3 linked regions of the Coturnix japonica genome follow. The protein of the gene in region 3 purifies or fractionates together with the protein of the main gene of each other region. This does not show direct contact. Links are inferred from orthologs where the notes say so. Each region holds a gene or a part of one and is shown on either strand. Other genes may lie near its edges.

Region 1 (3,650 bases), on a different chromosome or scaffold from region 3:
TTTTATGGGGATTGAAATGAACTTCTTTCCCCCTTATCTGAAACCTGTATTTCATTAGGACCTTTGAAAAGAGGACGCTTGTGTGTGCATGCTGTGCAGCTGAACATGTATGAGTGGAAAATGATGCTGGGGAGGTCTCATGTGCAATTCCTGCCCAGGTTTATATGGCTGGAATGCAGTGTAGTTAACCAGTACCTCTGTGAAGATGGGACCCTGTTACCTGCATGGGGCGCTCAGATGTTAACTTGCACTGAACTGAGGTGGAAGAGGGTACACCTACAGGAGAGCTGGAATTACTGAGGCAAAGTAAGGTTTTATGGGCTGTCTGAGCGTAAGGAGTCTTTTTCAACTGTTATTATAGTGGAAAACTACTGAATTATTGAAACTTCAGCTGCCTGCGGATCCGCCTCGGTGAGGGAACGAAAAAGCTTACATAAACCTTCAAACAATAACAAGAATATCATTTGTATAATTGTGGTAATTTTGCAGCATTACAGGTTATGTGTCTGTACATGTGTGCGCCTTTATTATTATTATTATTTAAAATGTATATTTTTCTGTCGGTGAAAGAGCCCTAAATACGTGCTGAGAAGTGATTTTGTGAAAACAAGGAGGACTTGGTTACACCTCGGGTGATGATGGAAACTGCTAACAGAAAATGAAAAGTCACTCACTTTTCACATATACTTGAAGCTGGAAAAGTATTTTTCCCATCCTCCTCCTCCCCCCTTCTCCTCAGCTCTGTATGGGACTTTGTGGGGTTTTCTGCTTTGCATGTAGGGTGGTTTTGCTGACAGCATTTAATCTCTCTCCCTGCAGTCGCTGCCGTTCCCAGTGAGGAGGGATTGCCCTGGCCGAAGGCACTGCGTTCTGTCCATGCTCCTGTAGAGGTGCTCAGATGGGATTAAAGTCCACATGGAGATATGGAAATGGACCAGGAACTTACTCTAAAAAGATGGTCAGCTGGGATTTGGGTTGCCTTATCTGCCTGGTGGTGGTCACCATGGCTGGACTTTCCCTGGCTCGACCGTCGTTTAACTTAGTTGTTGAAGATGCCACTTTGGAACCCGAAGGTAAATCATTCTAGTGTACTTAATTCTGCAAAAGGAGTTAATTTTAAGTACGTCAACAGCTGAAATTGAAGTCAACAGCTTTATGCGCGTTGGTAAATAGAAGGCAAGTAACAGATTTGCCCTCAAGAGTTATGTTTTCCAACTTCTCCTATTCACACGCGGACTGTGTTCATGCAAGCATGCGTTTATTTAATCTTGTGCAAGCAGTGGTGTCAGTGATTTCACTTGGGACTGTCATCGCGTTGTATAATCACAGTGTACAGCTGAAAGCTTTCAGGAACGGGTCTTTAAGGAAACCTGTTGCGCTTATGTACCTGTTATGTATTGCTTAAGAAAGGACACCGCTGGGTAGCTGTACGTCACTGTGATTTGAACTACCTGGAAAGTTGGGAGGAAAAAGAAATGCCAGTTGTTTTTATTCGCATGCCCTGATTGTTTAGCTTTGCAGGGCACTCTGCAAAGGAAGATGTCGCGGCCCTATTGGTGTTTGTGGCTGGTTGCTATAAATTTCCCTTTTGTTGTTCATGTCCAAGAACAATCAGTACGCTGTCTGGACCGCTGGGTCTGGAAGTGCACATGAGGAGATCTGAATAGCAAGGAGAGATTATTGCTGTGAAAGCAAAAACTGATTGAAACCTTTGCACTGAAAGAGGTGCTCCGATAAAATCTCCTACCTTGAGCCTGCACCTGTTGGTATGTTCTTGTAGGTTATCCCACCTTCAAACTTTGCAAAGTGTTTTTCTTTATAGAGCTAAGGAAGGGCTGCTTTTCTTGTTGTCCTGAGCCACTTGTATTTGTCTCCATTTTATGGAGAGCGTAGGATCATTTCTGCCTGCTGAACACCCTGGGAAAAAGCAAGGCTTCCTTCTTCTAGTTTTATTTGTCATTTGGAGGGCTGATTGAATTTCTATTAACTGTCAAAACAACATAGTAACCCATAAACCATATTTCATCAGGCGAGCTTTCTGAGGGGAGTTTGGCCTATACGTGTCTTGCTGCCCACATCCAGCGATACAGCCTTGTTTTTACTCAGTCCACTTCCATGCAAAGCGTATTTGTTTCTATCCACTGCCTCTAAAAATAGACGTCACCAGCTAACGCGTTTCTAGACTCTCTTCCAAGTACATTTTTATTGATGGCAGGGGAAAAATTATTTAGAGACGATGAGCCCTCCTCCCTAGCAAGCGTTCCTGAAGCAAAATGAATGCAGCGTAGCAATATTGTCATCTGTCACGGGCAGAGACTGTTGATGGCAAAGCCTTTTTGGTTCGTCCCCTCCCCTTCTGAAGGTAACATGAGAATTTGAGAAAGCTCAACTCTCATCACCGCTTACTGTATGTTTTGTTAATTGCACATCTGGTGCCGTTTTGGCTTTTCAGAGGAGTGACAAAATCAGGGATAGTTCTGGTTTCAGATGGGCTGTTTGTAGGGAGGTCCATTAGTTTTAGGGCTAAACAGGGAAGAATGTGATTGCGTGAATCATGCAGGAAGAAAGGTTAAAATATTTAACTTATGCTTTAACAGTTTTCTTTTCAAAATATGCTTTTTCCATGAGGAATATCCAATGGGTGAGAATCAAAGAGTAAATTGCTAAAAACCTACTGAAAACTTCTTCCCTGGGCAGGAATGTTAACATACATGAGATGATTTTAGATGTAAGAACTTGAGTTGTTACAAGAAAGAGCTTCTCAGTTAATGGTATAATATTAATGGTATAATAAGAGCTTTTATGCTGTAGAGTACAGGCAATTGTGTGGGATTTATATCTGAGATTTGGGAAATAAAACCTCTTTTATGTACTTTGTTAAACCCTACTCTAAAAAAAAAAAACACAACAAAACCCACTCTTTACTGAATCACCTTCGTTGGTTCCATCACTGCCACCCACAAGCTCTTGGTGCTGAAAGGAGAACAAAACGCTCTTGTAAAAAAATCTCTTCAAAGACAAAGCTGACTTTTATTGTTATTATTTTTTTAATTTAGTGAATGCCAAACATTTTGGTCACAGCTAATTTGAGGCAGTCAGGTGCTCCAAATCTTATGCTTTTGGTTGGGTGACTGACTGAGCAGTCATTAGGACAGTGACATTTTAGACCAGCTGAGAAGGTCGCCAGGGCTGTGACCTTTTGTGACATACTTTGATCTGTTCCTTGGTCTTTCTTCATGGACATGCCCTGGATTTTGTCTTTTTTTGGTGCTAAGTGCTTGTATTGTTGTTCTTTATTGTCTTAGTGACTCAGAATATTCAAGAAGCTGCATGCAATGTTAACAGGAATTGAGATTGTGGCTTTTGTTCCTTCAGCTGTAATAAATAAACCCTGGTTGAAATACAGTCATCTCTTAGCTAAACACAACTTAGGGGACCACTTTCTTTGGGGTCTGTATTTCAATACCTGCTTTAGCACAAGCAGTATTCATCTCTCAGGGTAATGAGCTGCATAGCTGTGTGTACACGTGCACCGAGGTGTTTTGTTTTGTTACCTGCAGTTTATCTGATCCCTTTGGTAGCACCTTTCTCTGAGCTGCTTTCATACAGTGTCGGGCTCTGGGCCTGATCTGTGCCCATTCAGTGTTGCT
Region 2 (3,650 bases), on a different chromosome or scaffold from region 3:
CAGACATAATGCCGTGCTGGGACAGCAGGACGGCCACCACACTCAGTGCCATCACCTCAGTGCCATCACCTTGCCCCATCCATCCCATCCCACCTCAACCCATCCCATCCCACCTCAACCCATCCCATCCCACCTCAACCCATCCCATCCCACCTCACCCCACCTCAACCCATCTCAACCCATCACAGCCCACCTAAATCCATCCCATCTCATCCCACCTCATCCCATCCCATCCCATCACACTCCACCTTAACCCATCTCATCCCATCACACCCCACCTCATCCCACCTCATCCCATCCCATCCCATCCCATCACACCCCACCTCAACTCACACCATCCCATCTTATCCCACCCTACCCCACTCCATCCCATCCCCACCTGTCCCTTGGCAGCTCCCAGCGTGGGTCCTCGGGCAGCTCATACTCGGATACACCGGCCAACATGGGGGTTCCACTGGAGGAGAGCCGTGAGGGCCTCACCAACATCACACCCGAGTTCATGGAGGAGCTGGAGTCAGCCGACACCTGCAGCAGGGCTGTGGGTTACCTTCACGCAGTGCTGGGGCCACGGCCACCCGTTCCCAATGGGGAAACGCTGACCGGGACCCCCCAACTCCTGAACACTGTGGGTTCCCTGCTGCTCCCCATTGGAGCACAACTGTATCAACTGTAATTGATTTGTTGCTTGCTGGTACCACAAAACACACAGCCTGGGGGTCCCTGGTGTGCAGCACGCACTCTTTGTCTCAATATTAAATTGCCATAATGCCTCCTGGTTAATTGCCTCATTGCCATGGGGCCATGCACACAAGCATGGCAAGGGTTGGCCATGGTGCCAATTCTTTGGGGAGGGGCAGTAAGAGCCAAGAAACCCCCTCTCTACTTTCTGTTACCTGTCTGCGCAGTGGGATGCTCTTGGCCAGCTTGTGCACAGCCAGCTGGCTGTTGAAGTCAGTCTTCTTGGTGGTGCTCTTCATCTTGTAGATGATGACTGTCACCACCATGCAGGAGATGAGGAACGCGCCGGTGCAGTAAATGATGATCTCCAGATAGAGGGGGGACGTCATCATGGCCGGTGAGTCCTCAATAGCTGGGTTGGCACAGGGAGGGCATCAGTGGAAGCCAAGAGTGGGGCTGGGCAGAACCCGGCTCCTCTCAGCAGAGGTGAGGGCTGGTGTGGGATGCTCCCACATGCAGCAGGGAGTGGTCAGACCATGGGGTGGGCACTGCACCCACAGCCTTGGGATAAGCATTGTACCCATACCCATACCCTTGGGATGCACCCAGGTGCCTGGGGCAGGAAGGGGTGAACTGCAGGTTGTGAAGCAGGGGGTTCGTGCCCATTCCCACTCTATGTGGGATGGCACCATGGGGACCATGTGGGGATGCTCCCCTGCACCCACCGCCCTGTGGGGCTGAGCTGCACAGCCATTGGGATCTGTGGTTACAGTGGCCCGCAGGGGCCGTGTGGCTCCAATGGGTGTTGGGAGGTGGAGCTGAGCAGCCAGAAGCACCTGTAGCAACAGCAGCAGCAGTGATGTGCTGCAGGATGGGGGCTGGAGGTGGGGGGGGTCCCATCCTTATGCACCACAGCACGCCCCCACCTTGTGATCTGGGGGGGTGGCAGTGCTATGAATGGCACAGCCACAAACCCAGCAGCCCAAACCTGACCCCCCCCCCAAAGAACAGAGGCTGAGAGAGAGGTGGAAGAGTTGAAACCTCATGTTCCCAGCAGCACCACCTCACAGTGCACCCAAGCAGCGGCTGATTACGGGCAAAGCTTTTGGCAGCAGAGCGGCGCCCACGCAGCGCCCCAAAAGCTTCCCCAAGGCTGCTGTATCAGGCGTGGATCCGCACAGCATCGATGGCCGAGCAGCACATCGACACACAGCAAAGCGACAGCCCCAGCAATGCATCCGACACACGTGGAAACAAGGGAGGATAAGGACAGGAAGAAGAGTATATACCTTCGAGAACTGTCAACCATGCAGAGTGATGGGAGATCCCAATAGAATTACCCGCCAAACATGTATACTCCCCAGCATCCTCAAAAGTGACATTCCGTAAGTACAGAACCTCCATCTCTTTGTCTGTCGTGTTAACGCCAGCCGTCTAGAGGGGGAGAGTGGAAGCAAAAGGGAGAAGCAAACGACATGAGATCTTCTGGGGAGAGGCAGAGAGGAGGGAGCAGCCTCATATGGGAGCAGACAGAGACCTTGGAGACCCCCTGGCAGAGACCCTCCGGATGACCGCTCATCCGGGTGGACCTAAAGAGACCATATAAACCCTTCACCAACGGTCCTGCCCATCGGAGCATGCTGGTAATGGGCCACATGGAAAAATAGAGCTCGGGGAAGGGCCGGCTGGGTGTCACAAGGATGGAGACATAGGGGACAGCACGGACAGCACATAGGGGGACACTACACACAGCCCAGCCGGCCCCACGGGGTATTTTTCCATGGCTTTTTTTGCACCAGAAATACAGCAGAAACGAGAGAGCCCAGAGTTGTGTTTTCCACCACTGGGGACAAGGTGGTCCCAGAAGCGTCCCACTGGGCATCCTTCCCATTACCTTTTGCCAGAGGTCTGGTGACAGTGAGCCACGCAGACTGGTTGGCCTCGCCAATATAATTGGAAACCTTACAAACATACTCCCCGCTCTCCGCCTCTGTCACATTATACAGGGTCAGCACCTCCGCATCAGAGCTATTAATTCCCGAGTGCTGGAACAGACCAACAACAGAGGAGTCACATCGATGGGGTCAGAAACCACAGCGCCCGGAGCGATGGTGCCAGCACAAGGCTGGGGGCCATGGGGTTGTGGTGAGCCAGGGGACCATAAACCTGCTACAGTGCATCAGGGGTGGGTGCACCTTGGGGTGTGGATGGCCATGTGCACTACAGCTGGAGATGGCCATGCACCCCATATGGTTGGGGGTGGCCATGAGCCCTGGGCCTGGGGACACAGCTGGGGATGGCCATGTGCCCCATATGGTTGAGGGTGGCTGTGTGCCTTAGGGCTGAGGGTGGCCATGAGCCCTGGGCATGGGGACACAGCTGGGGATGGCCATGTGCCCTGGAAGCTTGGCATGGATGGGGATGTTCACACACCCCAGGCTTTGCAGAGGGGCTGAGGGCACTGCTTGTGCCTGGACTGAGCAACCTGCCCCATGTTTGCCCCCAGCACCCACCCAGCCCATGGCGTACACCTTCAGGGATCCAAAGGACGAGTGCACCGCTGCCTGCTGCCCCCTGCCTCTCACCCAGCTCCTCCAGGACAGCCCAGAGCAGAGCAGGTAGGGCTGGTGGGGCTCCAGATGCCTCGATGCCACCTTACATGTCCCCAGCTGTGCCCAGGGAGAGCACTGACCCCATAGAGACCCGGGCTGAGGCAGCCCGGTGTGTGTGCAGCGTTACCTTTAGGATCTGCACGTAGGGCAAGTTGTCGGGGCCGATCTTGCTGCCGTTCACCTCGATGTGTTTCAGCCATTGGATGTGGGGCTGTGGGTCACTGTAGACCTTGCAGACGAACTCCACGTTGCTGCCCAGGGCCACTGTTTTGTTGGCTGGGAGCCCTGCCTGCAGGATGGGCCGGTGCGGGGAGCGCTCTGCAGGGATGGAGGGATGGGGACCTCAGCACGAGCAACCCA
Region 3 (3,650 bases):
TAACAACATTTTCACTATCCGAAAAATGATTTCTATCCTTGTTTCTTAAGGGAGATAAGTTAAATAGTTGAAGCGTAATAACTTTAAAATCGAAGAAAACTTAAGTCTTTGTCAAACATTAGATTTATTCACAGCAAATGAGTTATTACTATATGTTAGAAGATCATGCTGTGTCCAAAAGCAATTTGTAGTCATAATTGTTAAAATTAATTAAAGGAAAAGTGCTACAGTAATTAAAAGAATCCTTTGGTTTACTCTGATTTTGGCCAGTTAGATGAACAAATATCTACTTGCCTTAACTAAATGGGGAGCATCCTGCCTGTTCAGCTGGTATTGAGGCAACTGGTCACAGTGAACGATCCAGGGATGGCTGAGAACCTGGGCTGCAGTCAGTCTTTGATGGGGATCAACATGAAGCATTTTTGAAACAAGATCCTGTCAATAACAAGGAGTAGCATAAACATTTGTTCATAGCATCATTTTGAAGCAGATGAAAAGCTGCCTGACAAGGCTAACACTATGTCATTTGGTTAGGTAACTTAATTAGGCAACAAAAGTGAAAAAGAAACAACAGAACATTGAGATGACCCTTTCCCTTGTGTATTTTACCAGTGTCCAACAGTCTTCTAACAACTGTGCAAACTGCAGGTTGAATCTCAGTACTAAGGAGAATAAACTGCTCAAGTCCTCATGAAAGAACATGAGATGAACTGTCGTGGGTAACTGAAGAACTAGCCCTACACAAACGTGACAATATTTTTCCTAGCCTGAACCAGAGGGACATACAGTAATTATTTCAATATTTTCACTATCCCAGTTTAGGACTTCTGAATGTCATTTTTTGACATGATATTTAATTACAGCCTTTCTTGACACAGATGATTGCACATGTGTGAAAATACACCATCTTTTTAAGCACACCTGATTTTCACCCTACATGCAAGTGACCATTGAAACGCGAACGGATCATAAACAGAAAAAATTCTAAGCATATAAAAATCAGCCCAGTAATTAAAAATAACAATGGGTAATATTTATTATGTAGACATTATCAGCAATGTATTTCATCGAAGTATATTTCTCATATAGTTAGGGTACTGGTTAGGCTGCGGTTGGACTTGATGATCTTCAAGGTCTTTTCCAACCTGGGTAATTCTATGATTCTATGATTCATCTCTCACAGAACAAAGCAAATATACTTGCCTTAGCTGTATCTGAAACAGTGTTCCAATAACCACCGCTCAGAGAGAATTTTCCACTACCTATCCGGGCCAGGATCTCCTCTGGAGTATCATCAGGACCATTTGCAAAAGGAGTGTAGCTATTTAACCAAACAAAATTTTAAGACAAAAAAAAGGATGAATAGAACAAACCAGCACAAAATAACCTACTTAGCAAGTGCAACAGCAGCTCTTTTCTGAACTTGTGGAACCATAGTTGAATTAGCCATTTATCACCTTTTATACAAATCATTTCTTCTGCATACATAAATGTATTTCTATTGCATTTATTATTCCTTAAGTGCAACACTTCAAACCATCCAGTAGCTGAATTTTCCTCACAACTATGTTTCAAAGCTCTGCAATTGTGCTTGCAACATATTTCCTTCAAAACATACACTGTTTAATCAGCTAATTTTAATGGAAAAATAAAACAATTTTTACATCTAAATCACAATAAAGAAGAATTTAAAGACCTGAAACAGATGAGACATCAGTTCCTTCAAATTTGGATTCTACTAAAGGTGAAGCATATTTAACTTCCCTGGAGTTGTAATTGAGATTTATCAGTTCCCTTCTAGAAACACAGTCACAGTGGGTTCACACTCACTATTCTTGTTTGCTATTATAAAGCAAAGGAAGTGAACAAACAAAAAACCCTTACCCAGTAAGCATAGTATATAGCAGAACACCAAGACTCCAGATGTCACACGCAGCATCATAACCTTGTCTCTTTAAAACCTGAAGGAGACAGATATTTTTTCTGTAAAAAAAAGTGCTTAGAAATGCTTTGGTCATGATATAAAAACACCAAGATCTGATTCTTTAATTCTTTTTCAAGTTAATTCACTTGCTGCTGAAGAATGAAATGAACACCTATCCAAGTGTTCCCACCAAAAGAAATCAAGGCATATAAGCTACCCTGGTATGTACCTCTGGTGCAACAAAATTTGCTGTATAACACGGAGTCATCAGAAGGCCATTTTCTGCTCGTAATTGTTTTGCAAAGCCAAAATCACAAATTCGAATTGATTCTGGATTACCGGATTCATCAACATAAAGAATATTGCTGGGTTTCAGATCTCTATGGACAACCTAGGAAAAAAACACAAACAAAACAAACCATGAAATACAGTAAGCTTAAAACAGGAATAGGCTTTACATTTTAATTATTTATTCTACTTAATACCTTCCATGAGTAATCATAGTCCAATTTCAAGCTTCTACTATTAGCTATAGCACTCTGGCTGTACCACCTGGAGTAGTGAAAATCTCATTTGGAAACCACCTCCTCTTCATTCTAACCCTCACCAAAAGGAAGAACTCAGCAAAAACAAACTTGGTGCACACATTTAGTTATGGAGACAAATCAAGCTGTCTCGATTTAACAGTTACATGCACTTCTTATTTTAACATGCATACTGTACCTACAAAGCTCTTTAGATCAGAACCTGAGAACCAGGGCTTCAGAACAGGAGACCTTATAGCGGCCTTTCAGTACCTGAAAGTGACCTACATGAAAGCTGGGGAATGACTTCTTACAAGAGCAGGTAGCAACAAGACAAAGCAAAATGGTTTTAAACTGGCAAAGGGTAGATTTGACTAGATATTAGGAAGAAATTCTTTACTGTGAGGGTGGTGATGCACTGGAACAGGTTGCCCACTCCCTGGAAGCATTTTAGATCATGCCAGATGGGCTCTGAGCAACCTGGTATAGAGGGAGGTGTCCCTGCCTATAGCAGGGGGCTGGAAGTAGGTAATCTTAAAGGTCCCTTCCAACCCAAACCATTCTATGATTCTATGATTTCTGTAGCACCACTCTATCATATAACTACACATCAGTTACTGCTGGAGTAACTTTCTATAATTTAGGTTATCTAAACTGAATAATCTTTGTGCAAACACCCACAGCCCAATTGAGGAGGAATTTTAATACAGAATATTATAATCTCCAAACAAGCTAACATTTTATACAGGCCTATACTGGCTCCCCAGTGCCTGCTTTTCATGTATTTGGAAAGTAAAACACTTGGGAAAAACTGTAAAATCTGCTGAGGTTCTGGAAGAATGAATCTGATCTTATATGAAGCTATGCTATAATATGCCTAACTAAAACTTGTAAAGTGAAAAGACATAAATCAGATGGCATATTGTATCTGCTCCATCTTCTGCACACGACAAATTAGCTTAAGGGTTCAAGAGACACAGCTCTGTGTAGAAAGGAGTACATAGGGCTCTAAACCATATAATGGATTTAAACTCCTACTGAGAATTTAAATAAACATGACTCCTGAGAGCCTCATTTTCTGGAGATTAGAAACATTTTTACTCTACATCATGAGCAAAACATCCCTTATTGATCCAGGAGACAAAAGAAAAGTCACTCTAATTTTATTCCAGTTGTTCCTGCTTGTTTTTTGAAATAAATTC

The links.
Region 1: the proteins of RPS6KA3 (region 3) and FGFR2 purify together in Homo sapiens (affinity purification with mass spectrometry; 3 studies listed by BioGRID and IntAct, counting the BioPlex papers as one, with this or other methods). This does not show direct contact. The link is inferred for Coturnix japonica from reciprocal best matches to the Homo sapiens genes RPS6KA3 and FGFR2.
Region 2: the proteins of RPS6KA3 (region 3) and FGFR1 purify together in Homo sapiens (affinity purification with mass spectrometry; 4 studies listed by BioGRID and IntAct, with this or other methods). This does not show direct contact. The link is inferred for Coturnix japonica from reciprocal best matches to the Homo sapiens genes RPS6KA3 and FGFR1.

The regions. Positions count from the first base shown.
Region 1 is NC_029521.1:27,582,192-27,585,841, reverse strand, and holds part of FGFR2 (fibroblast growth factor receptor 2), read left to right. Parts: intron 1-286; exon of another isoform or gene 287-306; intron 307-394; exon of another isoform or gene 395-411; intron 412-819; 5' UTR 820-898; coding exon 899-1,073; intron 1,074-3,650. UniProt on the Homo sapiens protein: Tyrosine-protein kinase that acts as a cell-surface receptor for fibroblast growth factors and plays an essential role in the regulation of cell proliferation, differentiation, migration and apoptosis, and in the regulation of embryonic development.
Region 2 is NC_029537.1:3,710,418-3,714,067, forward strand, and holds part of FGFR1 (fibroblast growth factor receptor 1), read right to left. Parts: intron 3,609-3,650; coding exon 3,418-3,608; intron 2,113-3,417; coding exon 1,968-2,112; intron 1,091-1,967; coding exon 888-1,090; intron 526-887; coding exon 380-525; intron 1-379. UniProt on the Homo sapiens protein: Tyrosine-protein kinase that acts as a cell-surface receptor for fibroblast growth factors and plays an essential role in the regulation of embryonic development, cell proliferation, differentiation and migration.
Region 3 is NC_029516.1:105,979,901-105,983,550, forward strand, and holds part of RPS6KA3 (ribosomal protein S6 kinase alpha-3), read right to left. Parts: intron 2,316-3,650; coding exon 2,154-2,315; intron 1,962-2,153; coding exon 1,885-1,961; intron 1,322-1,884; coding exon 1,204-1,321; intron 436-1,203; coding exon 295-435; intron 1-294. UniProt on the Homo sapiens protein: Serine/threonine-protein kinase that acts downstream of ERK (MAPK1/ERK2 and MAPK3/ERK1) signaling and mediates mitogenic and stress-induced activation of the transcription factors CREB1, ETV1/ER81 and NR4A1/NUR77, regulates translation through RPS6 and EIF4B phosphorylation, and mediates cellular proliferation, survival, and differentiation by modulating mTOR signaling and repressing pro-apoptotic function of BAD and DAPK1.